Linked DNA regions of Macaca fascicularis. The main gene of each other region encodes a partner of the protein of the gene in region 3 in a complex. Links are inferred from orthologs where the notes say so. Each region holds a gene or a part of one and is shown on either strand. Other genes may lie near its edges.

Evidence for each region.
Region 1: MED1 (region 3) and MED21 share a complex: the UniProt entries of both Homo sapiens proteins name them as parts of the mediator complex. The link is inferred for Macaca fascicularis from reciprocal best matches to the Homo sapiens genes MED1 and MED21.
Region 2: the proteins of MED1 (region 3) and PPARA are in contact, whole or in part, in a crystal structure (PDB 9IWM), measured with the Homo sapiens proteins. The link is inferred for Macaca fascicularis from reciprocal best matches to the Homo sapiens genes MED1 and PPARA. Residues at the interface, in NP_004765.2 of Homo sapiens: Asn638, Thr639, Asn641, His642, Pro643, Met644, Leu645, Met646, Leu648, Leu649, Lys650; in NP_001001928.1 of Homo sapiens: Val284, Thr285, Thr288, Glu289, Lys292, Phe297, Leu302, Asn303, Gln305, Val306, Thr307, Leu309, Lys310, Pro458, Leu459, Glu462, Ile463.
Region 4: MED1 (region 3) and MED8 share a complex: the UniProt entries of both Homo sapiens proteins name them as parts of the mediator complex. The link is inferred for Macaca fascicularis from reciprocal best matches to the Homo sapiens genes MED1 and MED8.
Region 5: MED1 (region 3) and CCNC share a complex: the UniProt entries of both Homo sapiens proteins name them as parts of the mediator complex. The link is inferred for Macaca fascicularis from reciprocal best matches to the Homo sapiens genes MED1 and CCNC.
Region 6: MED1 (region 3) and MED25 share a complex: the UniProt entries of both Homo sapiens proteins name them as parts of the mediator complex. The link is inferred for Macaca fascicularis from reciprocal best matches to the Homo sapiens genes MED1 and MED25.
Region 7: MED1 (region 3) and MED19 share a complex: the UniProt entries of both Homo sapiens proteins name them as parts of the mediator complex. The link is inferred for Macaca fascicularis from reciprocal best matches to the Homo sapiens genes MED1 and MED19.

The regions. Positions count from the first base shown.
Region 1 is NC_088385.1:29,780,043-29,783,542, reverse strand, and holds part of MED21 (mediator of RNA polymerase II transcription subunit 21), read right to left. Parts: intron 2,383-3,500; coding exon 2,268-2,382; intron 1-2,267. UniProt on the Homo sapiens protein: Component of the Mediator complex, a coactivator involved in the regulated transcription of nearly all RNA polymerase II-dependent genes.
Region 2 is NC_088384.1:5,378,399-5,381,898, forward strand, and holds part of PPARA (peroxisome proliferator-activated receptor alpha), read right to left. Parts: intron 195-3,500; coding exon 34-194; intron 1-33. UniProt on the Homo sapiens protein: Ligand-activated transcription factor. Key regulator of lipid metabolism. Activated by the endogenous ligand 1-palmitoyl-2-oleoyl-sn-glycerol-3-phosphocholine (16:0/18:1-GPC). Activated by oleylethanolamide, a naturally occurring lipid that regulates satiety.
Region 3 is NC_088390.1:60,495,343-60,499,306, forward strand, and holds the start of MED1 (mediator of RNA polymerase II transcription subunit 1), read right to left. Parts: upstream 2,801-3,964; 5' UTR 2,607-2,800; coding exon 2,582-2,606; intron 1-2,581. UniProt on the Homo sapiens protein: Component of the Mediator complex, a coactivator involved in the regulated transcription of nearly all RNA polymerase II-dependent genes.
Region 4 is NC_088375.1:191,388,151-191,392,236, reverse strand, and holds the start of MED8 (mediator of RNA polymerase II transcription subunit 8), read right to left. Parts: upstream 2,801-4,086; 5' UTR 2,617-2,800; coding exon 2,261-2,616; intron 1,606-2,260; coding exon 1,461-1,605; intron 957-1,460; coding exon 816-956; intron 629-815; coding exon 547-628; intron 185-546; coding exon 1-184. Other genes in the region: KICSTOR complex protein SZT2, read left to right, coding at 3,919-3,945. UniProt on the Homo sapiens protein: Component of the Mediator complex, a coactivator involved in the regulated transcription of nearly all RNA polymerase II-dependent genes.
Region 5 is NC_088378.1:75,740,290-75,744,488, forward strand, and holds the start of CCNC (cyclin-C), read left to right. Parts: upstream 1-1,399; 5' UTR 1,400-1,532; coding exon 1,533-1,564; intron 1,565-4,199. UniProt on the Homo sapiens protein: Component of the Mediator complex, a coactivator involved in regulated gene transcription of nearly all RNA polymerase II-dependent genes.
Region 6 is NC_088393.1:57,821,044-57,825,067, reverse strand, and holds the end of MED25 (mediator of RNA polymerase II transcription subunit 25), read right to left. Parts: coding exon of another isoform or gene 3,947-4,024; exon of another isoform or gene 3,912-3,946; intron 2,312-3,911; coding exon 2,067-2,311; 3' UTR 501-2,066; downstream 1-500. UniProt on the Homo sapiens protein: Component of the Mediator complex, a coactivator involved in the regulated transcription of nearly all RNA polymerase II-dependent genes.
Region 7 is NC_088388.1:15,892,852-15,897,014, reverse strand, and holds the start of MED19 (mediator of RNA polymerase II transcription subunit 19), read right to left. Parts: upstream 2,801-4,163; 5' UTR 2,768-2,800; coding exon 2,551-2,767; intron 1-2,550. Other genes in the region: TMX2 (thioredoxin-related transmembrane protein 2), read left to right, coding at 3,204-3,392. UniProt on the Homo sapiens protein: Component of the Mediator complex, a coactivator involved in the regulated transcription of nearly all RNA polymerase II-dependent genes.

The DNA.
Region 1 (3,500 bases), on a different chromosome or scaffold from region 3:
TCCCTGTTTGCAGATGACATGATTGTATATTTAGAAAACCCCATTGTCTCAGCCCAAAATCTCCTTAAGCTGATAAGCAACTTCAGCAAAGTCTCAGGATACAAAATTAATGTGCAAAAATCACAAGCATTCTTATACACCAGTAACAGACAAACAGAGAGCCAAATCAGGAATGAACTTCCATTCACAATTGCTTCAAAGAGAATCAAATACCTAGGAATCCAACTTACAAGGGATGTAAAGGACCTCTTCAACAGGAACTACAAACCACTGCTCAGTGAAATCAAAGAGGACACAAACAAATGGAAGAACATACCATGCTCATGGATAGGAAGAATCAATATCGTGAAAATGGCCATACTGCCCAAGGTAATTTATAGATTCAATGCCATCCCCATCAAGCTACCAATGAGTTTCTTCACAGAATTGGAAAAAACTGCTTTAAAGTTCATATGGAACCAAAAAAGAGCCCGCATCTCCAAGACAATCCTAAGTCAAAAGAACAAAGCTGGAGGCATCACGCTACCTGACTTCAAACTATACTACAAGGCTACAGTAACCAAAACAGCATGGTACTGGTACCAAACAGAGATATAGACCAATGGAACAGAACAGAGTCCTCAGAAATAATACCACACATCTACAGCCATCTGATCTTTGACAAACCTGAGAGAAACAAGAAATGGGGAAAGGATTCCCTATTTAATAAATGGTGCTGGGAAAATTGGCTAGCCATAAGTAGAAAGCTGAAACTGGATCCTTTCCTTACTCCTTATACAAAAATTAATTCAAGATGGATTAGAGACTTAAATGTTAGACCTAATACCATAAAAATCCTAGAGGAAAACCTAGGTAGTACCATTCAGGACATAGCCATGGGGAAAGACTTCATGTCTAAAACACCAAAAGCAACGGCAACAAAAGCCAAAATTGACAAATGGTATCTCATTAAACTAAAGAGCTTCTGCACAGCAAAAGAAACTACCATCAGAGTGAACAGGCAACCTACAGAATGGGAGAAAATTTTTGCAATCTACTCATCTGACAAAGGGCTCATATCCAGAACCTACAAAGAACTCAAACAAATTTACAAGAAAAAAACAAACAACCCCATCAAAAAGTGGGCAAAGGATATGAACAGACATTTCTCAAAAGAAGACATTCATACAGCCAACAGACACATGAAAAAATGCTCATCATCACTGGCCATCAGAGAAATGCAAATCAAAACCACAATGAGATACCATCTCACACCAGTTAGAATGGCGATCATTAAAAAGTCACGAAACAACAGGTGCTGGAGAGGATGTGGAGAAATAGGAACACTTTTACACTGTTGGTGGGATTGTAAACTAGTTCAACCATTATGGAAAACAGTATGGCGATTCCTCAAGGATCTAGAACTAGATGTACCATATGACCTAGCCATCCCATTACTGGGTATATACCCAAAGGATTATAAATTATGCTGCTATAAAGACACATGCACACGTATGTTTATTGCAGCACTATTCACAATAGCAAAGACTTGGAATCAACCCAAATGTCCATCAGTGACAGATTGGATTAAGAAAATGTGGCACATATACACCATGGAATACTATGCAGCCATCAAAAAGGATGAGTTTGTGTCCTTTGTAGGGACATGGATGCAGCTGGAAACCATCATTCTTAGCAAACTATCACAAGAACAGAAAACCAAACACCGCATGTTCTCACTCATAGGTGGGAACTGAACAATGAGATCACTTGGACTCAGGAAGGGGAACATCACACACCGGGGCCTATCATGGGGAGGGGGAAGGGGGGAGGGATTGCATTGGGAGTTATACCTGATGTAAATGACGAGTTGATGGGTGCAGCACACCAACATGGCACAAGTATACATATGTAACAAACCTGCACGTTATGCACATGTACCCTACAACTTAAAGTATAATAATAATAAATAAATTTAAAAAAAAAAAAGATTTAGAAAAAAAAAAAAAAATTTATAAATGGGATGCCTTCCTTGTTAAGGTCCCTCACTCAGCTAAATTAATACAAATTCTCCTCTAAAGGAGTAACAATCTATTATCTGACATGAACCAGAATTATGAGATGTTAGGTGAATTGACTAAGTTTTTTACAACAAACAAAACTTGCAATATCCTCAAGTAACAATATTTTTAGAAACAAAATAAGCTGAATTTCTCAAGAAATCTAATTTTAAAGGATAACAAAAAATGTGAGAGTCAAAATAAGAGAAGCTAAGAAAATCTGTTTACCTTCTGTAGGGTTAGCAGGCTGGTCTTTGTTAATTGCTGTCTGAATATTACTGAAAGAGGCAGGAGGACCACATTGCTGCAATACTCCAATGGCATTACAAAACTGATCTGCAAGCTTAGGCCAAAGAAAACATGTCGAGGTTAGAAAGGACTTATCAGTTTTAAGGACTTTATTGGTAACAGCAACAACAATAAGTTTCTGTAATGCTAATCTCTGAGCAAGGGAATAAAACAGAAAGGAGTAATTGTTGATAAAATAAGCCAGTTGATTACATGTTTTAATTCTGCAAAGAAACTAAGTTTGGTATCAATCTAGGTGAAGTAAAATTTGATATAAATCTAGTTGGAACAGTTGAAATACAAAACAATCTTTCTTTTCTTGTTATAGTAAAATGATAAGAGAACACTGGCCAATACTTATTGTAAGCCACAAGTAAAGACTTTTTGCGGACAGTGATGGAAAAGAGCAAATTTGACTTGTAAATATCTAAGTATGGCATCACGTTTAATAAAAATTTATTACTCATGCACAAAGTATATGATTCCTTTTCTGAGACTGGAGTAGTTATAAGTGTAAAAAAAATAGTGGGGAAAAGGCTGCTCAGAAAAGCACCTTGAGTAATCAGAAATGTATCTGTTCAAGACTCAATTTTTAAACTCTTGTACTCTAAAAGTACTCCGTAAGTACTTTTAAAGATGGAGAATATCAATTCCTTACCATCTCCAAATTAAATACACCTATCCTCCCCACCAATTTCTCTCACCTAGTCTTGACCTCTCAAACCTCCTATTTCTAATAAGCATTTCCTTTGGGTTTCTCTGCCATTGTTTCAATGACAGAACTCAAAGGCAACTGTTTCCTCTGTTTAATATTTAATTTGTATTGAAAGTCTCCTAGTCAACCAGTCTAACTTCAGATTCTTGCTTTCCTTTGATCTTCAAATTATGCTAATACTACAAATCTTCCTCTTTTCCTTCTATCATTATTGTTGCTTAGTTCAACCAATTATCTCACACCAGAATTATTACAATAGCCTTCTTGTTGTTTGCCAGTTCACCAGGTTATTTATTTTACCCTGATAAAAACATTTGAGCTTACTCCACCACTGTCTTCAAGGTAAACCTCCAACTCAGGCTGTTTTGAAGCTTTCAACAATCTAAGTCAACTCTACTGACTTGTTTTCCACTACTCCTTCATATTTACCTAACTAGTCATAAAGTCACTTATGACTA
Region 2 (3,500 bases), on a different chromosome or scaffold from region 3:
CAGCCACCGGGCCCTGTTCCAGGTCCCCTCTACCTTGCAGCCTTCACACGCGTGGACTCCGTAATGGTAGCCTGAGGCCTTGTCCCCGCAGATTCTACATTCGATGTTCAATGCTCCACTGGGAGACTCGTCCACGCTGCCGGGGACCACAGGATAAGTCACCGAGGAGGGGCTCGAAGCTGGTGAAAGCGTGTCTGGGGAAAAAGAGGAGAGACAGATGAATAGTCCAGGCATCACTATCCTGTGTCTGAACCGGGTCTACGAGGATGTGATTTAGCATATGAGGCATCTAATGCTGAGGCGTAAACCTCAGAATACCCATGCAGGGCCGGGCCCTGCCTCTGGGTCACACCCTCTTGCACTCCTACAGCTGCCGTTGTGCTGTGCTCCCAAAGCCAGCATGCTCGCTCCGACTGCTGCTGAGCTGACCCCGAGCTCCGGACCCACACATCTCAGATCACGCATCCCTAGACCCACGCATCTCCGCCCCGCATATCTCCGGACTCGAGTGTCTCCAATCCACACATCTCCGCCCTGCACATCTCCTCATTCCGACATCTTCGATCTGAGCATCTCTGATCCGAGCATCTCCAATCAGCGCATCGCCGCCCCGCGCATCTCCGGACCTGCACATCTCCCATCCACACATCTTCAGATTCTCATCTCCGGACCTGCGCATCTCCGGACCCGTGCATCTCCGGAACCGCAGATCTCTGGACCCGTGGATCTCTGGACCCGTGCATTTCCGATCTGCTCATCTCTGTTCTGCATATCTCCAGACCCACTATCTCCGGACCCCCGCATCTCTGGACCCGTGCATCTCCTGACCCCCTACAGCTCCTGATTCGCACATCTCCGCTCCGCACATTTCTGGACCCACGTATCTCCGATTCGCCCATCTCCTGATCTGCGCATCTCCGGACCCGCGTATCTCCTGGCCCTCCACATCTCCTGATCCCCCCATCTCCGCTCCGCACATCTCCGGACTCCCTCAACTCCTGCTCCATACATCTTGGGACCCTCACCTCTCCGGATCCACACATCTCGGGACCTCTACATCTCTGATCCGCACATCTCGGGACTGGTACATCTCCTGATCCGCATATCTCCGGACCCCCACATCTCCGATCTGCACCTCTGGGTACCCGCACATCTCCGGACCGCACATCTTGGGAACCGCACTTCTCCAGACCGGTACATCAGACCCACACATCTCCTGATCTGCACATCCGGGGACCGCACATCTCCGCTGCACACATCACCAGACCATCTCGCCCATACCTCACCCTGCAGGACTCCCCGTGCCCCCGCGCTGACAGTGCCACACAGAACTCTTTTTGTTTGCTTCTTTCCTTCCAGTTCTTCCACAATTGCCAACTCAGTAAATGGCACCAGAATACAGTATAAAAATCTGTGTGGGTAACACCAAATGCATAATCCATGAAAGAGAAAATATAAGTTGGAATTTATGAAAGCTAATTAAACCTTCTGCTCTGCAAAACACATTGCTAAGAAAATTAAAGACAAGCCACAGACTGGGAGAAAATATTTTCAATACACATGTGGTAATATACAAAGAGGTCTTAAAACAACAATAAGAAAACAAACAACTCAATTGAAAAATGGGGGCTGCGTGTGGCGGCCAGGTGTGGTGGCTCACGCCTGTAATCCCAGCACTTTGGGAGGCCAAGGTGGGCAGTCACGAAGTCAGGAGATGGAGACCATCCTGACTAACACGGTGAAACCCCGTCTCTACTAAAAATAACAAAAATTAGCCGGGCGTGGTGTCGTGCGCCTGTAGTCCCAGCTACTTGGGAGGCTGAGGCAGGTGAATCGCTTGAACCCGGGAGGCGGAGGCTGCAGTGAGCTGAGATCATGCCACTGCACTCCAACCTGGTGACAGAGCAAGACTACGTCTCAAAAGGAAAAAAAAAATGGGCAAAAGATCTGAACAGTCACTTCAGCAAAGATGATATACAGATGGCATGTAAGCATATGAAACGATGCTCAGCATCATATGTCATTGGGGCATTGAGAATGAGAACAACAATGTGGTGTCACCACACACCTACTAGGATGACCAAAATCCACAAAACTGACATCATCAAATTTGGTGAGGATGTGGAGCAACAGGAACCCCCATTCATTGCTGGTGGGAGTGCAACATGAGACAGCCCCCTTGGAGGACATTCTGGCAGTCTCTGACAAAGCAAAGCAGTTTTACTGTATGATGGAATCACACTCGTAGGTATTTGTCCAGTTGATTTGGAAACTTCTGTCCACACAAAACCTACACAAGTTTAGAGCAGCTTTTTTTTTTTTTTTTTTTTTTTTTTTTTTTTTTTTTGAGACAGAGTCTCACTCTGTCACCCAGGCTGGAGTGCAGTGGCACAATTTCAGCTCACTGCAACCTCTGCCTCCAGGTTTAAGTGATTCTCCTGCCTCAGCCTTCCAAGTAGCTGGGATTACAGGCACCCATCACCATGCCCAGCTAATTTCTGTATTTTTAGTAGAGACAGGGTTTTACCATGTTGGCCAGGCTGGTCTCAAACTCCTGACCTCAAGTGATCTGCCCCCCTTGGCCTCCCAAAGTGCTGGGATTATAGGTGTGAGCCACTGCGCCCGGCCAGCTTTATTCTTAATTGCCAAAAATTGGAAGCAACCAAGATGCCCTTAAATAGGTGAATAGATATACAAACTGTGGTACAAACAGACAGTGGGACTTCATTCAGTGTAAAAAGAAATTAGGTATCAAGCCATGGAAAGACATGAATGACTCTTAAATGCATATTGTTATAAAAGAAATCAGTCTGAAAAGGCTACATACTATATGACTTCAAATTCATGGCATTCTGGAAAAGGCAAAATTATAGCAACGGTAAAAAGAACCATTTCTGAGCTGGCTAGGGGTGGGAGAGGCAGGGTCGAATAGGTGAAGCATGGGGTTTTTTGATGTGGTGAGACTATTCATACGAAAATGTAACAGTGGTCTGGGTACGGTGGGTCATGCCTGTCATCCCAGCACTTTAGGAGGCTGAGGTCGGCAGATCACTTGAGCTCAGGAGTTTGAGACCAGCCTGGGCAACATGGTCAAACCCTGTCTTTACAAAAAATACATAAATTTGCTGGGCATGGCAGTGTGCACCTCTAATCCCAGCTGCTTGGGAAGCTGAGGTGGGAGGATCACCTGAGCCCTGGGAGGCTGAGGCTGCAGGGAGCTGAGATTGTGCTGCCACTGTACTCCAGCCTGGGTGTCACAGTGAGACCTCCATCTAAAAAAAGAGTAGAGTAGAATAGAATAGAATAGAATAGAATAGAATAGAATAGAATAGAATAGAATAGAAAAAGAAAGAGAGAAAGAGAGAAAGAGAAAAAGAAAGAACGAAGGAAAGAAAGAAAAAGAAAGAGAGACCGGGCATGGTGGCTCACGCCTGTAATCTCAGCGCTTTGGGAAGCTGAAGTGGGTGGATCATGAGGTCAGGAGTTTGAGACCAGCCCAC
Region 3 (3,964 bases):
CAGAGATGGGCCTTGATCACACCACTTACTCCATCCTGAGCAACAGATGGAGACATTGTGTCAAAAAAAAGTTATTGAACTGGGTTAGAGAGGAAAATTTTTTAAAAAAAGAAAAAGAATAAATGAAATTGCTAAAAAGACAGCAGTGAACAAACCAGACAAAAACTCCTACTTCACAAAGTTTCCATTTTTACCCTTCTCCCCTTGCACCTGAGGAGTACATTTTTTCTTTTTTTTTTTTTTTTTTAAGACAGAGCATCACTCTGCAGCCCCGGCTTAAGTGCATTGGCACAATCAAGGTCTACTGTAGCCTCGACCTCCCATGCTCCAGGATCAAGTGATCCTCCCAGCTCAGCCTTCAGAGTAGCTGGGGCTATAGCTAATTTTTCCTTGAAACAGGGTCTCGCTCTGTCACCCAGGTTGGAGTGCAGTGGCACAATTCTGGCTCACTGGAGCCTTGACCTACAGGATTCAGGTAATCCTCCCACCTCAGCCTCCCAAGTAGCTGAGACTACTGGCTTGTGCCACCATGCCTAGTTAATTTTTATATTTGTTGTAGAGACAGGCTTTTGCCAGGTTGTCCAGGCTGGTCTCCAACTTGTGAGCTCAAGTGATCTGCCTGCTTCGGTCTCCCAAAGTGCTGGGACTACATCCTTGAGTCACTACCTGGCCCTAATTTTTTTTATTTTTTATTTTATTTATTTATTTATTTTTAATTAATTTATTTATATTTTTGAGACAGAGTTTTGCTCTCGTTGCCCAGACTGGAGTCCAGTGGCACCACCTTGGCTCACTGCAACCTCCACCTCCTGGGTTTGAGTGATTCTCCTGCCTCAGTCTCTCAAGTAGCTGGGATTGCAGGCATGCCACCATGCCGGGCTAATTTTGTATTTTTAGTAGAGACAGGGTTTCACCATGTTGGCCAGGCTGGTCTTGAACTCCTGACCTCAGGTGATCCGCCACCTTGGTCTCCCAAAATGCTGGGATTACAGGAATGAGCCACCACGCCCAGCCAATTTTTTTTTTTTTTTTTTTTTTGAGAGGAAGTTTCCCTCTTGTTGCCCAGGCAGGAGTGCAATGGCACAATCTTGGCTCACCACAACCTCCACCTCCTGGGTTCAAGTGATCCTCCCACCTCAGCCTCCCAAGTAGCTGGGATTACAGACATACGCCACCACAGCCAGCTAATTTTGTGTTTTTAGTAGAGCCAGGGTTTCTCCATGTTGGTCAGGCTGGTCTCAATCTCCCAACCTCAGGTGATCCGCCCGCCTCGACTTCCCAAAGTGCTGGGATTACAGGCGTGAGCCACGGCGCCCGGCAATTTTTCATTTTTTTGTAGAGACAGGGCCTCACTATGTTGCCCAGGCAGGTCTCGAACTCCTGGGCTCAAGGGATCCTCCAGCCTCAGCCTCCCAAAGCGCAGGGATTACAGATGTGAGTCACTGCTCCCGCGGGGCCTCACCTTTCGACCTCTCCTCCAAAACACACTCCTTGTTTTTCTTGAGAAACCTGCTGATAAATATCTGCACTTCGATGCTCCAAGATTTTTTGAGCGACTATTACGTTCCAGAAACTATATAAAAATGAATCAGGCAAGGACCCTAATCTGCAAAGCTCAGAGTAAACTGGAGATAAACAAACAATAACACAGCTCACTGTATCAACAGAACTATGCCCAAAATGCCAAGGAAGCATCTAAGCCGGAGTGTGGAACTTTAGAAAATCTTAGTAAAGTTCCCCAGGAAAGTTGTTTTTCTGCAGTTATTAGTTCGGTCAATAAAAGAATTAAATTCAGCACAGTTTAAAAATACACAACAGGCCGGGCGCGGTGGCTCAAGCCTGTAATCCCAGCACTTTGGGAGGCCGAGACGGGCGGATCACGAGGTCAGGAGATCGAGACCATCCTGGCTAACACGGTGAAACCCCGTCTCTACTAAAAAAAAATACAAAAAACTAGCCGGGCGAGGTGGCGGGCGCCTGTAGTCCCAGCTACTGGGGAGGCTGAGGCAGGAGAATGGCGTGAACCCAGGAGGCGGAGCTTGCAGTGAGCTGAGATCCGGCCACTGCACTCCAGCCTGGGCGACAGAGCGAGACTCCGTCTCAAAAAAAAAAAAAAAAAAAAAACAAAAACAAAAACAAAATACACAACAGTACAGGATCTGAACACTTGACATTGTAGGGATCCGCTGGCTGCTAATAAATACAAGGAATTAATCATTTCATTCATGCCAAAATAGTCTCCAGTACGTTTACACACAGCCCTAAATTTATTCAGGCGTCTCTTCTGGAAGGAGATGTAAGCTGGTTTTGTATTCACTAGCCCCGTCTCGCACCACTTTAGGCCAAAAGTGCCCTAGCCGAGCATGAAATCTTCACAGAAGTTGAGAGTCCCCATCACCCCAAAGTCGAAGCTCTATAGTCATCAAGGAGGGTATAGTGACAATCTAAAACTCATACACATTCCCTCTCCCGGACTCTGTGCCCCTCAAGTGGCCCCCATGGGACATCTGCAAGAACCTTCTCTCACAAACTGGCTCCCCCAGTTGTGTCCCGCCCCCTCCTTTCCCCCTCAGTCACTTACCCTCGGTTTCCCCCTGAGCTTTCATCCTGAAGGCGGCGAGAGACTGGATCTGCCACAAAAGGATAAGCCCTTCCCCACCACTAACGGGGGAAACAAGTTGGCTCGGGATTCCAGGACGCAGGGTACCAGCAGTCCCTTACTCTTCGCGGGAAGGATCAGTCTGAAGTCCCCGGCGGCAAGAAGAGAAGGGTGCTCGAGGCCGCCGCCATCTTCCCCAACGGAACTTCCCAAAATTCGCGAGATAAACCGTGGTCCTGCCAGAAAGAGGAAAAGGACAGGGCATCGAAATCTCGCGAATATTGGTCGATGCGTGGGCCTCGCGAGATTTCTTTCAGCCCTGTCTTCTTTGATCTGAGTTGTCTCAGGCCTCACGCCGCTGTATGTAGCTTTCAGCTCCCTTCGGAAACCGGCATTTTTTTGCTTATTTTATTTTAGCAGTTAACTCGCAAATTAACTGATTAATTAACATGTCGCTGTACTTAAAGACTGGCTTTTTTTTTTTTTTTTTTTTTTTGACACGGAGCCTTGCTCTTGTCGCCCAGGCCGGAGTGCAATGGCACGATCTCGGCTCACTGCAACCTCCGTCTCCCGGGTTCAAGCGATTCTCCTGCCTCAGCCTCCCTAGTAGCTGGGATTACAGGCACCCGCCACCACGCCTGGCTAATTTTTGTATTTTTAGTAGAGACGGGGTTTCGCCTTGGCTAGTCACCCGGCCAAGACTAGCATTTCAAAGGGTATCGGTATCAGAAATGTCTCATGAAAAATAAGTTTGGGCCGGGCGCGGTGGCTCAAGCCTGTAATCCCAGCACTTTGGGAGGCCGAGACGGGTGGATCACGAGGTCAGGAGATCGAGACCATCCTGGCTAACACCGTGAAACCCCGTCTCTACTAAAAATACAAAAAAACTAGCCGGGCGAGGTGGCGGGCGCCTGTAGTCCCAGCTACTCCGGAGGCTGAGGCAGGAGAATGGCGTAAACCCGGGAGGCGGAGCTTGCGGTGAGCTGAGATCCGGCCACTGTACTCCAGCCCGGGCTACAGAGCAAGACTCCGTCTCAAAAAAAAAAAAAAAAAAAAAAAGAAAAATAAGTTTAACCTGAGATACTAGACGCAGTAATTACATCCTAAGAAAGATAGTGGCGCGGCCGGGCGCGGTGGCTCACGCCTGTAATCCCAGCACTTTGGGAGGCCGAGGCAGGCGGATCACGAGGTCAGGAGATCGAGACCATCCTGGCTAACACGGTGAAACCCCGTCTCTACCAAAAATAGAAAAAAATTAGCCGGGCGTGGTGGCGGGTGCCTGTAGTCCCAGCTACTCGGGAGGCTGAGGCAGGAGAATGGCGTGAACCCGGGAGGCGGAGCTTGCAGTGAGCGGAGATCGTGACA
Region 4 (4,086 bases), on a different chromosome or scaffold from region 3:
GCCATCTGCACCTGCTGTAATCCTGAGGTTCCTGCAAGGATCGTCCCAGCTCCTGGCTGGCCTGGCTGGCCAGGACCACTGCTGCCTGAAGGTCTCCAGTTAGACAGTCCTTTCCCAAAGGCAACAGCTGCCACCAAGGCATTAGTGTCTGTAGGGTTAAAGGTCTGCTTGTTTGGCCGGAGACCTGAAGAAAAAGTAAGTGGGGATCCTGAAGTATGTTTCTGATGCAGGACTGAACGTGGCAGCTGGAAGACCAGTATGAGTGCCAGGGTTTAGAGTTCTGAATTCAGCAGCATCTAGACTCCCTCACAGCCCATAAAAAGAGCCAGAGGACCCCCAAGCCTATCTCAGAATTCTCTCTTCTTACTTTGCCCATTTCCTCCACTGCTTCAGGGTTGGCCTTAAATACAAAAGGCTAACAGAATGGATGCAAACCCTAAAGCAGTTCACTCTTGTGTCCTAACTTCACTACTCTCGAAACAACCATTCCCATTCCAGTGATCTTATATACCTCTCCTTCTCTGTTTTGCCACCAGTCCACCATACCTCCACTCTCTGATTCTCGCTCCTCTTTGCTGATTTTCTCCAGAAGGTTTGAACACATTTTATTCAAGCTCTGGATCTGCTTCTGTAACACACAAATTTGTGCAGAGATTAGGGTAACTAGGAAACGATATGGACAAATTTATTCCTTGGGTTCTGCCAGAAGCAGCTTAGGTGCAACCAACTATGCATCCCTACTAGACAGGAATGGTAATGCCTAGCTTCTCATGATGGGATGGGGATGGGGCAGCAAGGCAGTGACTCAGTCCAACCTGGGCTGCATCTGCACCAATGCGGGCAGCATCTGTCGTCAGTTGCTTCTCCTGTTCTTCCACCTCAGGGTCAGGCTTGGTTCTCAGATGGTCAGGGACTACCTCATGGCTGAAAACGGGCACCCGTCCTTCAGTCTGCCGCTGCAACACACAGATTTTATTGATCCTACTATGCACTCCAAGAAGATTCTATCTGGCCTGATATACAGTCCCATCCACAGGCAAACAGTGCATTTTCAAGGAAAATACAACCTAAGACATAATATCTAGTTTCCTAGGACACAATCTCCTTTACTCCAGCCTTCATTTTTTGTGTCTTCTCACATCCCTATCTCTACCAGACCTAGAGGCAAATTAAACTATCACTGTCTGCCACGTTTCAAAGACTGAAACAGACAAAGTCACCAAAGGGCAGACTTTGTGGCTTGAGACAGATGTTGGAGAAGGAAGGTACCAGCCTTGGTGACATACCCCTCAGGTTATTACAACACTATTTGGGAGTGGCTCTCCCACCTTCAGAAGAACAAAAAGCAAGGCCTCCAAAATTATTTCTAAGTTCTCAGCTAAGAACTTAATTTCCCTAAATAGTAAAGAAGCCTAAAAAACTCCTTAATTTCCCAAGTTGTATTCTTTTTCTGCTCTTACCATGAGATCTTCATCTCGGTCTGGAGACAACACCAGAGGGATGATGACCTGGTTACGGAACAGCGGTGTTTTTTCATGCTTCAAGACCTTGTTCAGAGTGTTCAACTGTCCAGAAAGCAAGGCAAAGCTGTCCAGGACAGATGGCCTGTTGGCAGTAAGCAGGTGTCAGAATGTTCCACCCCTTCCTTGGGTGGTTCTTAGTAAAATAGTCCTAGTTCCTTCAGGCTAGGAACACTCGGATTTATCCCCAAAAGTCTCATAGCCCTATGACTAGCCTAAGTGGGAAGAAACTAACAAGGATGACAGGGTTATGAAAGAGGGACATAGTTTCAGTTTATGAAACAGATGTAGAAAAAATCCAGTTCATTGTTTGAATGAGGTGAGGAACAGTGGCAAAATAGGACTATACTGTTATAACTAAAACTTCAGAAACCCGGTAAAATCCTTCTTTCCAGCCTGGAAATAGGATCCACACTTCAGAGTAGGTTGGATCTAAAGGACTCAGCCATATTTGTGGCAAGAGATCCAGCACAAATAGAGCTGTAATAGGAGGACCTCCTCACCAGAGAAGTCAAAGGGTAAGAATTGAAAGCTATAATGAACTTGGGTTAGGAAACCGAGCATTTCTCTACTTCCTTGCCATGGAAGCCACTTGCTAAATGTTACGAAACCCAGCTCTTTCCAAATCAAAAGATGTTTGTAAACTGATAAATGGTTACATCATTAGAAGTGTCCTATTCATCAGAAGGCTAGGCCCCCCCACCCATAAGCCCTCCCTAGCTTGCCCTGGCAACCCTTACCAGGTCAGCCGGCCATACTCGTTCTCCAACTTGCAAATGAAACTTCCCAGTGAGTTCTTCAGATCAGCCACTTGACTCAGCAGTGCATCTAATGATGCCTCAAGCTGCTTCTCCTCTCTCTGCACCAATAGGAACAGGTTGGTTACCCAGATAAACGAGTATGACACATAGAAAGGAGGGCTGAAAAGCCAAGGAGATGGTGTGCAAACACCAGTCAGGTAACAGGATCTCATTGGCATAGGATAACCAGGTTGTTTCCTATCTGTGGTATTTGGGTTATAGACAGCATCAACCCTGAGACCTTTCAACCGTTTGCCTGACCCAAGTACTTCCACCAACTGATTCCTTTTTCCCATCCGCTCCTAATCTATGCCTGGTTTTTCTCTGTATTAGGTACACCCTACACTCCCTCATTGAGACATTTTCGACAAACCTAATGCCAGATCATTATCTCATGTGCACCTCTGTAGCACATGCACTCCAGCTTCCTCCATCCTAGCATTTGTGAGCCTGGCTCTCTTGTCAGTCTCTGGGAAATCTGCCTACTCATGAAGACTTCTCTGAATACCAGCCCTGCTCTCCTCTTTCCCTCCCCCCACCAACCACTCCAGCTTTCCATCTGCTCTCATCATTTCATGTTTCAACCTTCTCCTCGCTGAATTAATATGCACCCATCTATCTCTGTGTCAATATTCCCGTGCCTCTTTCACAAGCTCGGTCAACCCAATAACATTTCTTGAGACTACCAGCTGCAGGAAACTAAGTGACAAATGAAAACCAAAACCGCACATGCTTCTAAGCACTGAACAAACAAATTAAAATGCCGGGGGTCTGCAAAGCATTTCCTTCCCATCGGTGGTATCCTGTTTTATTCCATTTCTTCACCCTTAACAACTATAGGGCACAGGCTGGGAAGAGTGATGCAAAACTGTCTTGCAAACCTGCTAAGGTGCCTGACAGGAACTTGATCCTGGGTTCCACCATGGCCTCACATTACAAGCTGCTTAGCTTTCGGACACCGCGGCCCACAATTCCCTCACTGCTTGGGCTTCTTTCCAATTAGATCCCCTGCTATATCGGCATCCAACAGCCTCCATCCAGCAGCTTAGGACAGGGCCTGAGCCAACCCACCACCTCCTGAGCCGTCTTCCTTGGACTGCATCTCGGCCTCCCCGTATTACAACCTAATCCTTTCCCACGCCAAGCAAGTCAGTGCTGCCTCCTCCCTCCGGATTTAGCCCGACCGCCTTCTGTCAGGCGAGCTCCACCCCCACCTCTCATCTGCGCCGCTCCCTCTCCAATTAACCTCGCCCCCCAACCCACGTTCCCTTATCAGCCGTGGGTTCTGCCCTCTTTTCTCAGTCCCAACTCTTCATTCTCCTTAGCCAGCCCACTCTGGCTCCCTGTAGCCGAAGCTGGCCAGCCGCTAGCACTCCCAACGCGGCTCTCACCTGCATTGCGGCGGCCGAGGCGACTGCAACGATTTCCACTTCCGGTTTCCTGTCAGCAAACGCCTCTGAGAAGGCTTCGTCCACCAATCAGAAAACTGGAACTCGGCCCTCCCACCCACTTCCTGTTCCTTCCGGGTGCCGAGGTAGCCAGGTCAGGGGTCAAGAGTGGAACACACGGGCCCGGGCCGGCGCGGGAGGGCTTGTGTGATGGCCTCGGAGCGCCCCGAGCCGGAGGTGAGGGGCGGGCGGACGCAGCACTGGGCCCTGAGATCCGAGGGGGAGGGTCCGGCGGGCAGGCGTGGCGTTGGCCTCCTCTGGGTCTGGGGGTGGCCGGGCTGCGTAGCCTCGGCAGGGACCAGCCCAGCCCGGAAGGCC
Region 5 (4,199 bases), on a different chromosome or scaffold from region 3:
GCGGTTGCCCACGCCTGTAATCCCAGCACTTTGGGAGGCAGAGGTGGGCGGATGACGAGGTCAGGAGATCCAGACCATCCTGACCAACATGGTGAAACCCCGCCTCTACTAAAAATACAAAAATTAGCTGGGCGTGGTGGTGCGCGACTGTAGTCCCAGCTACTTGGGAGGCTGAGGCAGGAGAATCTCTTGAACCTGGGAGGCAGAGGTTGCAGTAAGCCTAGATAGCGCCACCGCACTCCAGCCTGGGTGACAGAGCAAGAGTCTGTCTCAAAAAAAAAAAAAAAAAAAAGAAAAAAGAAAAAAAAAGAAAGAAAAAAAAAAAAGAAAGAAATCGCTTGATCCAGGCCGGGCCTGGTAGCTCACACGCCTGTTAATTCCAGCATTTTGGGAGGCTGAGGCGAATGGATCACCTGAGGTCAGGAGTTCCAGACCAGCCTGGCGAAATCCCCTCTCCACTAAAAATACAAAGATTAGATGGACGTGGTGGCACGCGCCTGTAATCCCCGTAATCCCAGCTACCGGGGAGGCTGAGGCAGCAGAATCACTTGAACTCGAAAGGTAGAGGTTGCTGTGAGCCAAGATTGTGCCACTGCACTCCATCCTGGGTGACAGACCCAGACTCTGTCTCAAAAGTAAAAAATAGGCCGTGCGCGGTAGCTCACGCCTGTAATCCCAGCACTTTGGGAGGTCGAGGCGGGCGGATCACGAGGTCAGGAGTTTGAGACTATCCTGGCCAACATGGTGAAACCCTATCTCTACTAAAAATACAAAAATTAGCCGGGCGTGGTGGTGCGTGCCTGTAGTCCCAGCTACTCCGGAAGGAGGCTGAGGCAGGAGAATCGCTCGAACTCCTGGAGGCGGAGCTTGCAGTGAGCCGGGATCGCGCCACTGCACTCCAGCCTGGACGACAGAGCAAGGTAAAAAAAACAAAAAACAAAAACAACAACAAAAAAAACTTGATCCGTGAGAACAAAGTCATCTTCATTTATTTCTCTTTCCAATCACAGGTAAAATAAGTCACAAAATCTTTTATTTTATTACAATGCCATTGTTCTGTTTTTGAAGTCCTGGAAGAGGTAATAACAGAACCCCGGAACTCAGCCACTTCGCCCAGGTTAGACCCCTACTCAGCAACTCCAGTGCTGAGGACAGGAGACCGAGCGCCGTGGGCCCCCGGCCAGAACCGGCAAGACGCTCTCGCGAGAGTCTTCCAACCGCCGTGAGCTCTCGTGAGCACTAGTTCTCTTCTATCTCAGCGCCCCCACAGGTCAGCACCTCCCCGCCGGCTCCCTCCGCTACCGCGGGCCGGAACTTTTGTCGATAGGAACGGGTTTGCACAGTTGAGTGTTGTCGGCCGGCGTGAAGGAGACTAGGGGGCCATCCTCTTCCTTTCGCCGTCGCCGCCGCGGAGCGGAGTCGAGCCGAGCTGATTTGATCGAGGAGCGCGGTTACCGGACGGGCTGGGTCTATGGTCGCTCCGCGGGCCGCTCCGCCGGCTGGTGCTTTTTTATCAGGGCAAGCTGTGTTCCATGGCAGGGAACTTTTGGCAGAGCTCCCACTAGTAAGTGATCTTACGTCTTCTCACCTGGGGCCGGTTTTTGGGGGGCTGTGAGGAAGGGGCCTGCGACTCCCTTGGGCCTGGATCCCGGCTCAGTTCCGAGTGCCGGGGTCCTCAAGGGAGACGGCAGCGGCCAGAAGCAAGATGCTCTTTTCTGAGGCGACTCCCCTCCCCGCCCCCAGCCCGTTTCGGGGAGGGAAGGATCTGTGAGGGGGAGGGGTGGGAGAGAGTTTAGTCTCCCAGGAAGGAACGTTTCAGAGTTTAATTTCGGATTTTTAGTTTAACTAGGCCGCAGGGGGTCGGATAGAGTGGGCACAGGTACGGGAAGTGTGACTCAGCTCAAGACTGTGAGGCTACCTGTTCAGGACAGTTGTGGCGTGCTTTTGCTTGGGATTTCTTCGGGTGATTGGCGTCGTGGTCTTTTGTCATTCACTGTATATCTTGAGTGGATTTAATATTCTGAGGAGAGGAGAGAGTCTGGCTTGTTTCTGCCTACTAACCTCTTCTTGCCAGTACTTTATGTCTAGATGGAGTTTTATATTGATAAGGTATAGGGCAGGTGCCCTGTAAACTTATCCATTTCATTAGCCTGTGCCTTATATTTTGTTTTAAAGGCGTATTTTTCCAGTGATTTTGTTTCTCTATTTCTTTAACCTTTTTCATGAATAAGTTCTTGTTTCTGTCAGTGACTATGTGAGAGCTAGAATAATATTAAAAACATTTATCTCTAAATACATTTGTTTAAGCAGGCAGGAAGATGCGTGATGGGGTTAATTGAACATTGAGTAGGCTTTCCACTGTATAGTTGAAAGATGAACAGAACTTGACAAAGAAGGTATCTTAGTATAATTTTTTATGCTAAGAAAGCATTAGTAAGTAATTTAAATTTCGATTCTGTGAATAGGATCTGTTCCTGATGTTCATTTTTTAGCCCTTTGCAAGGAGAAAAAAGAAACAATGAACTCGGTAACCTATTTAAGGAAAAGCAGGTTTTCCTCTTGCTATAAAGTGATTCTGTGGAGATGACATGTTAAAGAGGCAGGCAACTGATCATATGTGTATGTGTGTGTATATATATGTGTGTGTGTGTATTATATATATGTTGCATTGTTTTCACACACTGAAATATTGCTTGGGCAGAATTAAAGTATCGAAAGTTTAGGTATTGGAGTTAGAGCTCCTGAAAAAAAAATTTAGGTAGTGGAGAAGAGAGATTCTGATAAACTTTGAAAGAAGCTGAGAGAATTGACAAGTAGCTGACTGTTGATTTGTCAGTTTTTCAACTTAAAAAAAAGCTCCTACCTTTTTTCAATGGTGTTCTCATTATGCTTTCATTTATTCATAGCGTTATAAAAACATTTTTTCACTTTTCAAATATAAAATTATTACAAAGTTAAGTGTACTTCTTTGAAACTATTCTCCCAATTCAAATACTCCTAAAAGAAGGGATCACTTTGCCTTGCTCAGATCCCTTGAGCAGTCATAGAGTTTCTTATCTGGAAAAGGTAACAAGTATGGAAGACAAGACAATTCTGGAAAAACAAACAAAAGATTTTGAAAGGCCATTGTTTTAGCTGAATTTGGTGAAAGAGGGCAATTGACATTAAATATGCTATATTTCATGCTTCTAAGATGCATATTTTCACACTTTAACATCTTTGAAATGAGCATGGCAGTTTCTTTCATAGCATATGAAATAATGATGAATCCAAGATGTAATCTTAAATTTGATGAAATGCAGTATTTATAAATTTTTTTAGTTTATCCTGCATACACAGCTCTGAGGAAAATTCATAAAATGTTTGTGAAATTTATGAAATTTATCTTTTTAAAAACATAAAATGACTCTGTGGGGATGAAATTAATTAGCAAACCACAATGTAGTTGAAGTAGAACAAAACACAGTCTGTGACCAAAATGAACTAGAAGGGGACTAAGTATTTGCTGGGTTGATTGAATGCATTAATGAAGGAGTAACAAAAATAGAAACTACAAAACTAACTGTGGATACTTTATTGTGTGAAAAAGGAAACTGAAAATACAGTTACTTAATATCTATAAAATAACATCATAATATTACCATATATGGAATGTAACCAAAGCTTGAATGTATTAGAAAATCAATATCCTGAATAATTGAGAGATAATAGAAATATTCTATTTAATAATACTAAGAAGGAAACATGAAATAAGCCTAAAGAAACAGGAAGAAGATCTAAAAATAGATAACGCTGATGCTAATATATTAAAAGGAAAAAAATTATAAAAGATCATTCTTAGAGTAAACAAAAACAGTAGACGAAACTACTGCTAGTTAAATCAGGGGAGAAAGGAATGATACAAAAATACAAAATTAGGAATGAGAAAAGTAAACCCAAGGGTACTTTTGGGTTATCTCCAGGGTTTTAAATTTGAAAGCCAAAGCAAGTTAAGAGTATTACCCAAGAGCTATGCCTTATTTCATGGGTAAATACATCTTTCAAGAGAATCTCCTTTTGAAATTGTTCCATTTCATACAGAAAGAAGAAAAGCTTTCCTTTACAAAGCCATGATAACACTTACAGAAAAATCTAGTAAAGGGAACACTAAAAACAGTCTCACTTTTGAATACTGATGCAAACATTGTAAATGAATTATT
Region 6 (4,024 bases), on a different chromosome or scaffold from region 3:
GTCCTTGTTCTCGAGTCTTCTCCTTCTTCCAGAGGTCGCAAAATGGCGGCCTGGCGGCCTCATTAGACCCACAGGCAGATTTTGTTTGGTCCTCACAGTGTTTTTGGTTTCAATTTGAATGCCATTAGGCGGGGCAAGCACTCTCCAAGTTCGCCACAGTCCCCATCATTCCCTGTTGTCTTACACCCGTCCGCTTCACACATTTTCATCACCTGCCTGGTCCCTGAAGCCATCTGAGTTTTCAAAAACCCCTGCTACACAGGCTGCCTGGGAAATCCCCCACTTTCACTTCTTCGCTGTCACCAGTGCCTCCTGCTCCACACGCACATTCCTGAGGATCGCCTAGAGAGCTTGCTCACACGACTCCCACACCCCCGCCCTCCCCCCGCTGGATCCAGCAGTTCCAGGGCAGGGATGGGAAACTCACATGCCTACAGGGGCCAGGCGGGTCACATAAATGAGTGAACTAGCCAGGTATAAGAAAAGTCGACGGCCAGAAATATCATCAAATCGGATCTTTACTGAACTATGGTGAATGCATGGAACATAATACAAACATGGATGATACTGGAGTTTATATTTTTAAATTCAAAATTGAAAAAATACAAATTGAAAAATAGAAATATTTAATTATTAAAATTCTCTTTCATAATTCTTTTTGCGCCTTTGAGTTGAAGCCAAAAGGCTGGCGTCTTCCCTTCCACACCGAGATGTGTCAGGCCTTGGGGTGGCACGGTGGGGATGGGCAGTTTAGAATTCAGCCTTGAATCCTTAAACTGGGAACAATGTTTAATTTGATTCAGGTTCGTAACGGAAAACAGCTGTTCACAAGCGTGGGTACTCCCAAACATGGATATTCAGGACAACTACTGGAGATAGTTGTAGAATCTCACCATCTTCACACAGACTTGTATTTAGGAACCAGCGCCGTATTGCACCATAGTTCAATTACTATTTATGGTCTGTATTCACACAAGAAACATTTACCAACAAAGGCAAACTGGACAGTGTCTCTTCCTTCTCATGAGTCTGGATTCCGAGGGCCTTTGGGGGAATTTGGTCTTCCACCCCAGGACGTAGGTGAATATAGTCCAGGCCACGTCTTTCACTTCTGAAAGCCAACTGTGGCGTAGGAAAGAGTAAATGTTTTTTTTCCTTGCTGGTGGATTCCCCGTTTTTGCCAGGACCAAGCATATACCATCTTACATTCAAGTAGCTGTTTGTGGACATCCTTGCAGAGAAATATTCAGTGTTCAGAACGGTCATAACCTTGACCAGAAGTCTTTGACTAACCTTCTCAGGGGAACCCACTGTGGCTTTTGCTTGATTTAAAATGAACCAAGCTGATTAACTTGTACAGTTTCAATTTCTTCCACAACCAAGTCACAGAGCTTCTGTGAAATCTCTCAGGTCAAGTCATCATCAACTCACTCGTGACTAAAGCCCAGGAGCGGAAGTGTCGAGAGCGTCACGGTGTGTTCTGTTCAGCTGCTCAGAACAAGTCAACTCCTGATGATGGATGCAACGACCCGACTTCCGTGTCCTTGCCAAATTGTCACCTTGGCTCAAGGTGTCCTGTCAAGTCCCCCTGTCATGACAGCTGTCTGTAGTTGTGCTTCAGAACTCTGGCCAGTCTATGTGAAACTTTTCTCTCAATATACAAAAAAAAAAATGAGTCCTTTCCCAGTGTTGGGCCCGCCTTGGCACCATGCCACAGACTTCTTCAGTCACATCAAGTTTCTTAACACCACAAATAAATAAAGCTAACTGGGTGGTAATAGTTTATGAGCAGCGAAAGAAAAGGCCACAATCAATTTGACTCTTTCAAGCAACTGGACTTCTAAATCCCCCGAGTTATCTCCAACTCACTGTGCAACGCAAATGCCCGTTAGACTTAAATAATGGTCTCAACAGTCATGTGTTTCTGTAAAGGACACGTCACTCTGCTCCTTTATCAACTCGCCATCTGCTGTAGCTCTGAATGCCCAGGTCATTCTTCTCACGTGATTCCGGAACGGCGTACCACTGCCGCACCACTTCTGTTAATTCGCTTTTCAAGACAAACCCTACTGACATTTGAGTCCCTTTTTCAGTTCGCTGAGGATGGCGTCTCGAGTCTGCTCTGTGTACTGGTCGTAGCTCTTGCTATGCTTTGATTCGTAGTGGCGTTTCAGGTTGTATTCTTTCAACACAGACACGATTTGTTTGCATATTAAACACATAGGCATGCTCTTCACTTCCACAAAGAAATAGGCTCGCTCCCACTTTTCTCGAAACACGCGGCCCTCTCCTTCTCTCTTTCGTTTTGCCGCTTGTGATACAGACATGAGTACAAGAAAGATTTCACTTTCCTCTGAATGCTACCACAGAACAACCACAGTGCAAGCCCCGTGACAAAGGCAGTGACTCTCTGCCTCACAGGGGAGCCAAGAGGGAGTGGTGGGGACTGTGGCGAACCGGAGAGCACACGCCCCATGGAGAGGGGCAGCTCCAGCCCGTTGTTGCCAGGCAGAAGGGCGGGCCCAGGGGTGCCAATTCTTCTGACTTGTCAAAAGATGCCAAGACTGCAGATTTTGCGTGTGTGTGTGTGTGTGTGTGTGTATTAACCTGATTTTTATAACTAACTCAAGAAAAAAATGCCACATATGCTAACACAGGGAAGGCCAAACAAAACTCATCTGCACCATGGCCCATAGGCCACCAGATTGCAATCTCTCTCCTGGGGTGGGGCCTGTGAATCTGTACGTTAACCAGCATCCAAAATGATGTGGATGCTGGTGGTCCAGGCATGGACCGCGCTCTCAGCAACACTGGTCCAGAGTCCGACAACAGACAACTCACTCTCCACCTCCAGGAGAGACCGCCCTGCGCTCCAAGCCTGTCTGGATCCCCTGCCCTCAGGATGTCTCTGAGGCCATCCTTTAGGTCCCTCACCTTGCCACATCCCAAACCTGTTCCCTGCTGGGTATTCCATCCTGGGGACAGACCCACCGTCTTCCCGTCCACAGCCCTGGAAGGTCAGTCTCTGATGTGGACCCAGGGACCACCCTCTCTCCATGTGCGATCTTGTCTGCTTCTGTGGCTTGAACCCCAAACATACACTGTCCTCTAAGGACACGTCCTGAGCTCCCAAAATGGCACCTGTCACCTGGACGTCCCTTGGACCACGTACACTTACTACCAGCTCCTTCTCCCAGGAGCCCCACCACCTACCATCACGTAGGCCTGACCCCAGAAGCCAACCTCTACCCCAGTCCCCAGCATCCCCACCACCCAGCCTCACCCTTCCTGGCCTCCTGTCTGGTCTCATCACGCTCCACAGCTGAGAGGGCTCTTTCTGACATCCAGAGCCGGCCTAAGCCCGCCCCACCGCTCAAAGTCTCCTGGTTCTCCTGTGTCCCCAGGACAAACCACGGGCTGCTCAGTTTGGCATCTGAGCTCCTCAAACTCTGCACCTGCCCATCTCTCTACACATGAGCTCCCTACACGCTCATGCTCCAAAAGCATCCATCAATTTGCTCCTCTCAACATCCCAGGCTTCCTCCTGTCTTTGAGTATTCAAAGTTTCTGTTGTTCTCTGCACCCAGATCACCCCTCACCTCCTTCCCTCCCGGCCTGACAGCTGATTCTCTTTCAAGACTGAGGAGCTGGGGCTGGGTCAGACACCTCTTCCAGGCTCCCATGGTGCCCCGCCACCTCCATGAGAGCTTGAGTCCTGAGCGCTGCCTGCCTGTCCCTGCATCTCCCACGAACCAGGTTGCACCAGACTGCCTCTGACTCACCACGGAGGCCCCGGCGTCACCCACCCAGGGCCCCAGGGATATCTGCTGAAGTGAGAACAAGGACAGAGATGCCCCCTGGGGTTTCCTCCTGCCCAGTCCTGGGGGATGTCAGTGACGGGAGCCGGGGCGTGTGTTAAAAAGGAACTTTATTGGGTGTTGGGGATTCAGATGAGATCCATGAGGATGTCGTCCTCCATGACGCTGGGCTGCAGGCCCGGCTGGGGGACCGGGCCTCGGGGACC
Region 7 (4,163 bases), on a different chromosome or scaffold from region 3:
GAATCGCCTGAACCTGGGAGGCGGAGGTTTCAGTGAGCCGAGATTGCGCCATTGCACTCCAGCCTGCGCAACAAGAGCAAAACTCTGTCTCAGGAGAAAAAAAAAAAAAAAAAAAAGAGAGAGAAAGGCAGCATCTTGGAGACCAAACATGTCCAAAACAACTCGATTTCCACCTCTTCAAACTTGTTCCTTCCTCATCTTCCAAGTCTCATACCCATACACCCAATTATTCAAGCTGAAAACTTAAAAAGGCATCAATTCTTCTATCTCCTTCACTTCTATATACAATATGTATTTTTAACTGAGACAGCTTCTTCCTCTATCATCTAAGCTGGAGCACAGTGGCACAATCACAGCTCACTGCAGCCTCAACTTCCTGGGCTCAAGTGATTCTACCACCTCAGCTTCCTAAGTAGCTGAGACTACAGGTGTACGCTGCTATCCCTAGCTAATTTACTTTTATTTTTTGTAGAGATGGGGTCTCATTATATTGCCCAGGCTGGTCTCAAACTTTTGGGCTCAAGCAGTCCTCCCACCTCAGCCTCCCAAAGTGCTGGGATTACTGGCGTTAGCCACAGCACCTGGCCCTATATTCAGCTTTTCAACCCTGTCAGCTCTACGTCTAACACCCTGTATCCATTTACTTCTCTAAATAAGTACATTTGACCAAGTTCCTATGTTAAAATGGCTTTCCTTGGCTGGGCACAGTGGCTCAGGCCTATAATCCTAGCACTTTGGGTGGCCAAGGTGGGAGGACTGTCATTGGCCAGGAGTTCAAGACCAGCTTGGGCAACACAGTAAGACCCAGTCTTTACAAAAAATTTTTAAGTTAGCCAACTGTGGTGGCACATGCCTGCAGTCCTAGCTACTTGGGAGGCTGAGGTGGGAGGACAGCATGCGCCTAGGAATTGGAGGTTACAGTGAGCTATGACTGTACCACTGCAGTCCAGCCTGGGTGACACAGTGAGACCTTGTCTCTATAAAAAATTGTTTTAAATGGCTTCCTTTTGTATTTACAATCTAAATGCCTTTATTGCTTTATAAAAGCCTCTGCCTAACTCTCCCAGCTTCATCTCTCTCCTAACACTCTTTCCTTTTGTTCACTTCACTGGAGTCCAACTGATTTTCTGTCCCTCAGATATTCTAAGCTTTTTCTCACATCAGGGTTTCTGACCTCATTTCCTGTATCTAGAATTATCTCTCCCTCCTGTCCATAGCTGGCTGGCCCTTTGTCTATGCTTACATTTTAGTTCAAATTTTAGCTATGTGGAGAGAGCATCTCTGGCCACTCTAGCTAAAGTAGTTCTGCCCCTCAATTTTTTTTTTAAGAGACAGGGTCTCATCTGTTGCCCAGGCTGGAGTGCAGTGGCACAATCTTGGTTCACTGCAGCCTGGACCTCCTGTGTTCAAGCAATTCTCCTCCCTTAGTCTCCTGAGTAGCTGGGGCTACAGGCAAGCACTACCACGGCCGGCTAATCTTGTATGTTTTGTAGAGACTGGGTCTCGCCATGTTGCCCAGGCTGGTCTCAAACTCCTGGGCTCAAGGGATCCTCCTGCCTCAGCCTACCCAAGCGCTGGGATTACAGGCGTGAGCAATGCGCCTGGCCACCTTCAATTTTTTATAATGTTTTCTCTTCCTAGCATTAACCACTCTCTGACATTATCTTGTTTACAATGCCTCCTACACTGAAATGTACATTCCAAAAAAGGCAAGCATCTTGTCAGTCTCGTTCACAACTGTATCTCCAGCATTTAGAAAAGTGCTTGGTACATAGGTACTCAACAAAATAATTTTTTGAATGAAAAGAGTTTGGTTCGATTCTTACCCCTTCTTTGATGACACCAGGAAACGCAGAAATCTTGGAAGAGTGGCAACTTGCCCCAAACCCACAGCAAGTCTGTGGGAGACTTGTAACTAAAACTTTAGGTCCCCAAAGATATTAAATCAGGCCTCTCGAGTTCCAAACTCAAACTCTTGATTTTTTGTTTGTTTGTTTTTGTTTTGAGACGGAGTCTCATTCTATCGCCCAGGCTGGAGTGCAGTGGAGCAATCTCGGCTCAATGCAACCTCCGCCTCCCGGGTTCCGAGTAGCTGGAATTAAAGGCATACGCCACCACGCCCAAGTAATTTTTGTGTTTTTAGTACAGACAGAGTTGCATCATGTTGGCCAGGCTGGTCTCGAACTCCTGACCTGAGGTGATTCGCCCGCCTCCGTCTCCCAGAGTGTTGGGATTACAGGCGTGAGCCACTGCGCCCAGCCCTAGATAATTTTTTAGGGAGACATAAACCAGTGTCAGGAACACAGCCTGGACATGGTGCAAAAGACAGTCACGGAGATGCACCACCCCGCTCCCCGCCATTCATCCCTTTGGTTGAATTCAACTCATCCCTCTGCTTGTGAATCCTAATAGCCCTTTCGACTTAGGGCTCCACAGTCCGGGTATGCGTTGCCTAGGTTACCTCGCACCTCCGTTAGCCGGCTGAGAGCCACGCCCAACACCTCCTCTCTAAGATTTGATTGGCTGGCTTTGGCAAGGCCGAGTACTCACCTGGCAGTTCCCTCATGAGGTAAAAAGGGCCACAGCCAGCTCCTGACTTGTCCGCGCCGGGAGGGGCCGTGGCCGCGGTGGGAGGCGGAGCCGTGCCGGGTCCCCCGCCCGGAGGAGGCGGTGGCGGGGGTGGAGGCTTTCCTGGTCCGAAGCCTAGTGCGGTTGGGGGCGGTGGTGGGTCAGCCTGAGCCCCGAACAGCGCCGTGAAATTCTCCATCGTCCCCTCCGCCCCGGCGCTGTCTCGGTGTCTGGCGTTGGTAATTTTCATTGGACAATGCCTTTAAGGAATACCCACCTCTTTCTCAAGGAACCGCTTGTCATTGGATGCCTCAGGCACCGCCTACCTTGTTTCAACAACTACTTCCGTCGCTCTCTGAGAACGTTCAGGAAGTGCTATTTAACCTTATTAGAGTCTTCTGCTAGCTACGTTAGCTACAGTCCAATAAAATGACTTAAGCTGATAAAGCGACAGCTAGACCAACCAATAAGATATTAAGTTCTTTTTTGGGTTCTGACATACCACAGCGTTGACAGAACTACATCCGGGTTTAGAGGCCGTACGTTTGAGATGTAGCCCAATAGCAGTCGCTATGGTGGGGGAGGCGGGGCCGGACCTACGACGCCGGTGAGCAGTGGCCCTTGCGGCCGAAAAGATGGCGGTCTTGGCTCCTCTAATTGCTCTGGTGTATTCGGTGCCGCGACTTTCACGATGGCTTGCCCAACCTTACTACCTTCTGTCGGCCCTGCTCTCTGCTGCCTTCCTACTCGTGAGGAAACTGCCGCCACTCTGCGACGGTTTGCCCACCCAACGCGAAGACGGTAACCCGTGTGACTTTGACTGGGTGAGCGTCCCGCGTCTCAGTACCGCGACCTTGACTGTCCCTGCCCTTGCAGGTGCATCTGGGAACCCTGGGGTTTACCTTTCTGAGGACACCTGAGGTTCCGAGCCTGTAGCGGATTTAACAGACTGTAAAGTGCAGAGTCCGAAACATCGTCGAGACTAAACTTTGTGTTTAATATGGGAAAACGGAACCTGTTAGTCGTAGCCCTGTACAACGGCCCAACAGCTTCTGACTGTTGAGTCCAGGTTTCTTTCCATTTCACCATTTAGACTAAGAAACAGCCCTGTCAAAACTGTACATATACGTGTATAGCATCTTACAGTGCCGCTCATTATGTAAAGCCTCCTGAGGAGCCAGTAAGGTAGGGAAGGCAAGTAGTAGTAGTCCTGTTTCATTGGTGAAGGAATGGATCTTGGTATATTTAGGCGACTTGCCCCAGGTCATGCAACTAATGAGTGCCTGGGACTTGAAACTATTCTTGTGGCCACACTACCTGCACACACTGTCAGCCGTTTCTTAATTCAATCAACATTTCTAGAGTGTACACTCTAGGCACTCTGCTTGATCCTGAGGATGCGAAAGTGGATAAAATTTTGGGGCTACTGTAAAGGAATTGTAAAAAATAAGTTGTAAAGAAATCTTTGGGCTTTCTTTGAGAAGTGTCCCAAGCTCCTTGCTGTGCTTCCTTGGAATGGGTGGAGGGACTGCTCAGAACATGAACTTAAAGCACTTTACCCTCTGCTATATAGCATGTAAGGGCCAAGGCAAAGC